2 linked regions of the Bombyx mori genome follow. The protein of the gene in region 2 purifies or fractionates together with the protein of the main gene of each other region. This does not show direct contact. Links are inferred from orthologs where the notes say so. Each region holds a gene or a part of one and is shown on either strand. Other genes may lie near its edges. The genes, in order: syntaxin 5A and Golgi SNAP receptor complex member 1.

Evidence for each region.
Region 1: the proteins of Golgi SNAP receptor complex member 1 (region 2) and syntaxin 5A purify together in Homo sapiens (affinity purification with western blotting; 3 studies listed by BioGRID, with this or other methods). This does not show direct contact. The link is inferred for Bombyx mori from reciprocal best matches to the Homo sapiens genes GOSR1 and STX5.

Annotation. Positions count from the first base shown.
Region 1 is NC_085118.1:10,688,658-10,692,928, forward strand, and holds the start of syntaxin 5A, read right to left. Parts: upstream 2,843-4,271; 5' UTR 2,042-2,842; coding exon 2,017-2,041; intron 668-2,016; coding exon 516-667; intron 345-515; exon of another isoform or gene 133-344; coding exon of another isoform or gene 127-132; exon of another isoform or gene 93-126; intron 1-92. UniProt on the Homo sapiens protein: Mediates endoplasmic reticulum to Golgi transport.
Region 2 is NC_085122.1:10,011,708-10,015,535, forward strand, and holds part of Golgi SNAP receptor complex member 1, read right to left. Parts: intron 2,375-3,828; coding exon 2,226-2,374; intron 1,283-2,225; coding exon 1,166-1,282; intron 1-1,165. UniProt on the Homo sapiens protein: Involved in transport from the ER to the Golgi apparatus as well as in intra-Golgi transport. It belongs to a super-family of proteins called t-SNAREs or soluble NSF (N-ethylmaleimide-sensitive factor) attachment protein receptor.

The sequences.
Region 1 (4,271 bases), on a different chromosome or scaffold from region 2:
TGTTAATGATTGGGGATATTTTGTTTGAAAATGAAAACTTACAATTTACATAATTGAGGCAGTATTTCACAATTTTACATTCCAATACTTACTTAGAAAACCAATAGCGTTCAAATAATTACGTACTTTCATAGTACATTCATGTGTGTACAATATTTATCATTTCATCTCATCGATTCTTTTCAAAACTCGATGATATATCTATCTTTTAAATTATCAAGTCCCACTATTCCATTTTTTAGATAAGGTATGTAGGTACCTACCCACAATCCTTTATTTTTAATCACTCGATAGATTCCAGACACGTAGTCATAGATAATACACTTAACACGTAGGGGTAGTCATAGACTATTCTGGCTTAGTTTGTCCATTACTCACTCTGTCACTCACATGCGCACGAATACGCAAACCCGCAAGTGTAGGACGACATTTGCGAATGATTATGCAAAGTTTTCGCTGCATTCGTGGTTTTCCAAGCTGTGTCGGTTTTTTAACAGACATCAAAGCGCGCGAACCTCGAACCTTCGCGTAGTCTCCCACACATTCGCTTGCCCAGTTGCGCCGACGATTGCGAAGGTAACGCCGTTTTCATAGTTCGTGACGTCTACTGTGTAGCGTATCTTCATCAAAAGAAATCCCATAAAAACAGCATGGCTGTTAATCATGTCTGGGAAAGAATTCAAAAATCTTTTTCTTTTCAATGTTCTATTGACGAATTAAAAAGGAGGAGAAATTCGTGAGACATTCGTAAACAAGTGTAGGAGGAAGCGCAAACGGGTTCGCAAATTGAGTATGCGAACCCATTTGCACAGCCGCTAGGTTTGCGAATGAATGTTTGACGGCCCTTTACATGCGCGCAAACATTCGTACAATGTACGAATATTTGCGCGCATGTCAGTGGCCGGCATTAATACAATTAATTTTTTTTTTATCTCAGATCTACTTTTTTTACTCTTTGGGTTACAGTCCTGTTTCATTTTCATCTTTTTATGGATTTTAGTTTCTCTTCATGCCAACAAATTGTTGCCGTAAAAATTCTATAGAAATAAAATAATAATTTCATCTGTCATTTGAAACATATTCAACAAAATTTTCACAATACAAACATCTGGAACAGCCATTTCAATGTAATCTCAAAAAGCATATTAATTTAACTGTTGTACCACTTCGTTAGAATTGATGTGGGTATACCTAGTTGTTTGTCTTAGCAATTTTTGGCAGACTAATGACAATGTGTTTATGTTTCTATAGAGAAGGTCGATCTCTTCACTTCCAACTATTTAAATTAAATGACGAAGAAGTGACACCAACGAACATGTGTGTGTGTATCAAAAGATTATATCGTGTGATGATCAATGGGTCGTTTTTAAATTTGGGGCCAAAAGCGAGTTATTTAATTCTCATAATAACCTTAATGTTACCGTAATTATATGTTCAGTAAATTTGTTGTCATAACAGGCGCGTGGTCCTATAACTATACACCACTATTTTTAAATTAGTACAAAAAAATTAACTGGGCTCTAAGTATCTTTAACTAATCATATTATATGGTAGTTAAAAATAAAAAAAACACGAAGTCTCAGAACTGTCCATAAAAATACGTAATAATTGGTAAATGCTAAATAACTAAATCAATGACCGAAAGTACGTGCGGCAGGGTTTTAGTATCTACGGGGCGCTGCTCCATTGATAAATTCCAGGAAACTCAAGTCAACTCAACTCAACAATAACGACAAAAACCTAAACACTACTAAATTGTTAGCGGAAGTGTGCGCATGCTTTTTTTCGTTGCAACAGTTGTTTGTTTAAGTTTTCCCTGATGCGATGGCTTATCAGTTCACATCACGGGAGTATGTAGCTATGCTTCGTGGGTACTTTTTGAGTGGAGAAAATGCGAGTGCAGCTGTACGTATGTACAGGGAAGAATACCCGAACGCGAGTGCAGCTGTACGTATGTACAGGGAAGAGTACCCGAACGCCCGACAGCCAAATGTGCGAACCGTGGTAAATGCTTACCAGCATTTGCTTGATCACGGTTCATTCCACGCACCGTCACATAGTCAAGAACGAGGAAGACTGGCGTTGTGACAAAATCTGTACGACGATGTACTAGCGTATTTTGAAGAGGATCCCCGACGGAGTACAAATGACACTGCTCGACGGTTTAACAACAGCCAGTCCTGTGCCTGGAAGATTGTTAATAAGGCCGGATTATATCCATATCACTACAGGAAATCTCAGGAATTAACCACCGTTGATTATGTAGCGAGGATTTCATTTTGCATCAGGATACTGAACAATACCGAAGCAAATGTATTATTTTCTGCATTGGGCCTGTAGCTTGGCCTCCACGCTCACCTGACCTCACGCCCATGGACTTCTTTTGTGGAGTGAAATTAAGAGATGTGTGTACAGAAGCGAGCCGGTTAGGCTCGCACAATTAAAACAGCGCATATTGGACGCTTTTGACGAAGTGAAAAGACATAGAAGCGCACTTCTCTCGTTAAAAACGAGTTAATGAAACTTGCCCGTCAATGTATTGACAATGGTGGTGGACATGTCGAAGGACAATTGAATATACAAGTATTCATGATGAGATGATATGGGATGAAATATAATCTCAGTAAAATGGTGGTTATTTACTGAAATTTTTTTAGTGGACTTTTTGGAGGATCCCGATAAGTTACGTCCAGCGGCTTTGTTTCATTTTACCACATTTGTGCACTTTCACAGATATTAAACAGTTAATAAACCACCGTTATTACACATTTAAACCTGAAGAAACACTAAATAGACAAAATAAAACAAATCACACAACTTCACTCCTCACGTTCCCCCCAAAAAGTCGCTGTCATTTTTTTTTCTCTTTTTTTAGGTATTTTATGACCTGGTAGCTAAGACTTTTAAGTCATGTCTTATTTTAATTTATACTCTTATTTTTATGAAAAATTATGAAATGAAATGAAGATGATTAATTTGAGACATTAATCAACTGGGATGAAATCAAATGAAATGAAATGAGATGATATGGGATGAAATATAATCTCAGTAAATTGGTGGTCATTTACTGAGACTTTTTCGTTGGACTTTTTGGAGGATCCCGAGAAGTGACGTCCGGCGGCTTTGTTTCATTTTCCCACATTTGTGCACTTTCACAGATACTAAACAGTTAATAAACCACCATTATTACACATTTAAACCTGAAGAAACACCAAATAGACAAAATAAAACAAATCACACAACTTCACTCCTCCGTTCCCGCCAAAAAGTCGCTGTCATTTTTGTTTTTTTTTTTAATTTTATGACGTGGTGACAGAGACCTTTAGGTCATATCTTATTTGGAAAATGTTCATTAGTTTGGGGCTGTCATTTATAGTTCACTTTTATCATAGATTATCATAGACCTATATAGTAGGGACACGACATATTGTACTATACGTACAATTGCTTATATAAATAGCACCCATTTTGAAGGCACACACATAAACATATATCTATCTCGTTCTTACTCAGCACTTTAACTCGCAGGAAAATAATATAACAGTATTTCAGTGCGTACATAAAATGAAACATGAATATACGTAAATGTCTAATGAGGCCGAAAATCCGCCATGTTGAGCGCTCCAAATGTCATTGTCACGTCAGTTCGGCCGTCTGTTTTGGGTTGCGATTTAATATGATTGCTTATATAAAATTTCATATTTTATCATGCTTAAAACATACAAAAATAATAATTAAAACGTATTTTATAGGATCTCAAGAAAGTCGATGCCCCAAAACTATTATCTATATATATTTAAATTCATTACGGAGCCCTCATCCGAAAAATCATTTTTCGGTCGGAATCTATTGATCATGACACTAATTATAAATACCTCTTTAAAATATGTCATCAAAACATATTATTGACATTCTGTTTAGATATTTCGGGAAAAAGGCTACCGACAAAATCTCTTCGGAACTATTTAAATAAAATAGTTTTATGCCGCAGTGAATAAAACACTATTGTAAATTCGGTAAATATTTAATAATTAAGTGATTTTAGAGAGGAAGTCACAAGGAATGACGTTTGTAATTAATGAATAAATGTTCTGTATAGTGGGATTTTTTATTAGACGAAGTAAACTGACGTTTACTGTGTTGTCAGGTTTTGATGAAATAAAAATAGTGTTGTGACAAAGTGAACGATTGAAAAAACTCCTGAATTAATGAAATTGCCTCGATTGTCTAATGAATAGTAGGTGTGCCGAATTGCCGATATCGGGTACGGG
Region 2 (3,828 bases):
CCCTCGTTGATGAAGTGAAAGATCCAATAAGTGCGTAATTGTGTTAAAGTTAATACATGGCGATAATTTGAAGAATTATAGTAGACATGAGTAAAATGAACACTAGGTTTATATGTAAGTTAACTCAAATTTGTATGGAGTTGGAACGTTTGCCGCTAGGGGCGCTGTTCCAATTGCATACAAATTTGAGTTAACTCTTACGCTATCGAGAACGTTAAAAAACTCCCACTAACACACACTGAACAAGTTTTATATTACTTTTGGGAGGACGTCTTGAGAGTCCGCACGGGTAGGTACCACCGCCCTGCCTATTTCTGCCGTGAAGCAGTAAGGCATTTCGGTTTGAAGGGTGGGGCAGCCGTTGTAATGTAAATACTGAGACTTAGAACTCATGTATCAAGGTGGGTTGCGGTGTTCGCGTTGTTGATGTCTATGGTCTTCTATGGGAACGGACCCTTATCCGTTAGACCACAACAACTTAAAAAAACTTTAATCTGTATGTACATGTGTGTGTAGGTTCACCTAAAACTCGAAAAACATTCTAATCGATATGAAACCTCACCCAATATTTATAAGTCGATATGACCAGTCCGAATATAGTTACGTTAGTGACGGATAGGTGGCGCTGGTGACAGTGATTTCTATTTTTTTAACCATAGGTCGAATTGATATGAAATTCATCAATAAATATATAATTCTACTGTACGTGTGTATGTCACTGAACTCTTAAACGGCTGGACCGATTTGAATGATTTTTTTTTGTATGCGTTTATGTGGCACCTTGGATGGTTGATTCACAATTCAACCCGGCAGATGACGTTGCAGTCGGTATCTAGGTTATTTATATATACTGCAACTAAACGGCTGGATCGACTTGAATGAATTTTTGTGTATGCATCATTCATTCATTCCATTTATTTGTGCGTGCAGAATAACGTCTGTCGGGTCTGCTAGTATTTACGAATATATAAGAGAATGTGTGTGTGTGTGTGCGTGCGTGCGTGTGTGTGTGTGCGTGCGTGCGTGTGTGTGTGTGCGTGCGTGCGTGTGTGTGCGTGCGTGTGTGCGTGTGTGTGTGTGTGAAATTATCTAACATAGTTAGCTTCCTGAATTGTCTTATAGCTTTTATGTTTGAAAATAAAAAAATGTTTTAACATTTATTTACCTGTTGGCGATATCGTTGAACCTGGTCTGCATCCGTTTGAAGGTTTGCCGTTGCGAGGAGAGGTGGTCGCGAGCTTCCATCGCTATGTTTATTTGTTCATCGACTAATATGTGGGAACTGAAATGGGAAAACGACCAAATTAATACTCTGGCCAAACAAAAAAGAAAGACAAATACTAAATGTTCAGTTCTAAGAATCAAAATCAAGAGCTGTTCCGAATGTCTATTCATCATCTTTTTATTTATTTATTGCTTAGACGGGTGGACGAACTCACAGTCCACCTGGTGTTAAGTGGTTACTGGAGTCCATAAACGTCTACAACGTAAATACCGCCGCCCACCTTGAGATATGAGTTCTGAGCGGTCAGTATAGTTACACTACTCATTAATATGTAATACGCAGTAATATTCACTGCGCTACTGGTGTAGTAACACTATGACGCACTTTAATCTTCACTTAGAATTGTTTTCTGGTATCGTTTTTTGCGCTTGAATTTAAATTTATTAACTAAACACGTGTCTTATTAATCCTTGCTCGATATAGATTTTTTTAAGGAATTTTAGACCTGGTAACTAAGACCTTTAAGTCATGTCTTATTTTAATTTATATTCTTATTAATATGAAAAATGATTATATGGAGTGAAATGAAATGAAGTCTGAAATGAAGAAAATGAAGCGAATGACTGGGATGATTAATTTCTTAAATTAATCATCCCAGTCATTGAATGTCAAAGTCAAATTAAATGAAATGAGATGAGATGATATGGAATGAAATATAATCTCAGTAAAATGGTGGTCATTTACTGAGATTTTTTCAGTGCACTTTTTGGAGGAACCGGAGAACAACGGCTTTGTCTCTTTCTTGGCTTTATGCACTTTCACAGATATTGAACAGTTAATAAACCACCATTAATTTACATTTAAGCCCGAAGAAACACTAAATAGACAAAATAAAACAAATCACAACGACTTCACTCCTCGCGTTACCGCCAAAAAGTCCCTCGATATAGAGACAACAAAGGCATAGAATATACAAAAAAAGAAAAACCGTATATCACACCTGTGCAAATGGTTGGCTTCCTTCGCGTACTGGTCGCGTCTGCTGAGTCCCGCGGCGGGCGGAGTCGGGGAGCCGCCCCGAAGCAGCTCCTCGCGCTCGCGCCGCGCCGACACGCGGGCTGACGTGCGGGAGTACTCTTGCTGGTAGTCCTGCGAAATTATGGTTTGATACGACGTTTCAGTCACACGTACGTTTTTACTGGTGGCAGAACCTCTTGTGGGTCCGCACGGGCAGGTCCCACCAGGTATTTCAGCCGTGAAGCAGTAATGCGTCGATTTGAAGGGTGGGTCAGCCGTTGTAACTTACGGTAGGCGGCGGCTTGACTCTGCCCCTGGCATTACTGAAGTCCATGGGCGATGGTAACCACTCACCATATCAGGTCGGCCGTATGCTCTCTGCCTACTAAGGCAATAATAAAAAAAATTTTAGACTTTAGAACATGGGCAACAACCGGCTCGCGAGACTTTTTGAAAAAACCCAACGCGAGATCTCATACAACGCGAGACCTCATAGAACGCGAGGCCTACTATAACGCGTTGCCCTCTATAACCTGGGACCTCATACAACGCGGGAACTCATAGAACGCGAGGCCTACTACAACGCGAGACCTTATACAAAGCGGAACCTCATACAACGCGGGACCTACTACAACGCGAGGCCTCATATAACGCGGGACCTCATACAACGCGAGACCTACTACAACGCGAGACCTCATACAACGCGGGACCTCATACAACGCGAGACCTACTATAACGCGTTGCCCTCTATAACCTGGGACCTCATACAACGCGGGAACTCATAGAACGCGAGGCCTACTACAACGCGAGACCTTATACAAAGCGGAACCTCATACAACGCGGGACCTGCTACAACGCGAGGCCTCATATAACGCGGGACCTCATACAACGCGGAACCTCATACAACGCGGGACCTCATACAACGCGGGACCTCATACAACGCGAGATCTACTACAACGCGAGACCTCATACAACGCGGGACCTCATACAACGCGAGACCTACTACAACGCGAGACCTCATACAACGCGGGACCTCATACAACGCGAGATCTCATACAACGCGAGATCTCTTACAACGCGGGACCTCATACAACGCGAGACCTAGTACAACGCTGGACCCCCTACAACGCGGGACTCCCTACAACGCGGGACCCCATACAACGCGTTACCTCATACAACTCGGGACCACATACAACGCGAGCTCTCATACAACGCGGGACTTCATACAAAGCGGAACCTCATACAACGCGGGACCCCATACAACGCGAGGCCTCATATAAGGCGGGATCCAATACAACGCGGAACCCCATACAACGCGGGACCTCATACAACGCGGGACCCCATACAACTCGGGACCACATACAACGCGAAACCTTACACAACGCGGGACCTCATACAACGTGGGACCTCATACAACGCGAGGCCTACTACAACGCGAGACCCACTACAACGAGAGGCCTACTACAACGCGAGGCTTATTGAGGCACTCTGCGGCGCTCCCGTTTGGTGCCGCGCCCTGACCCGCGAAAACATCGCCGTACTGCGATGTTCGCAGCGTGCAATGGCGGTCAGGACGCCATGACACA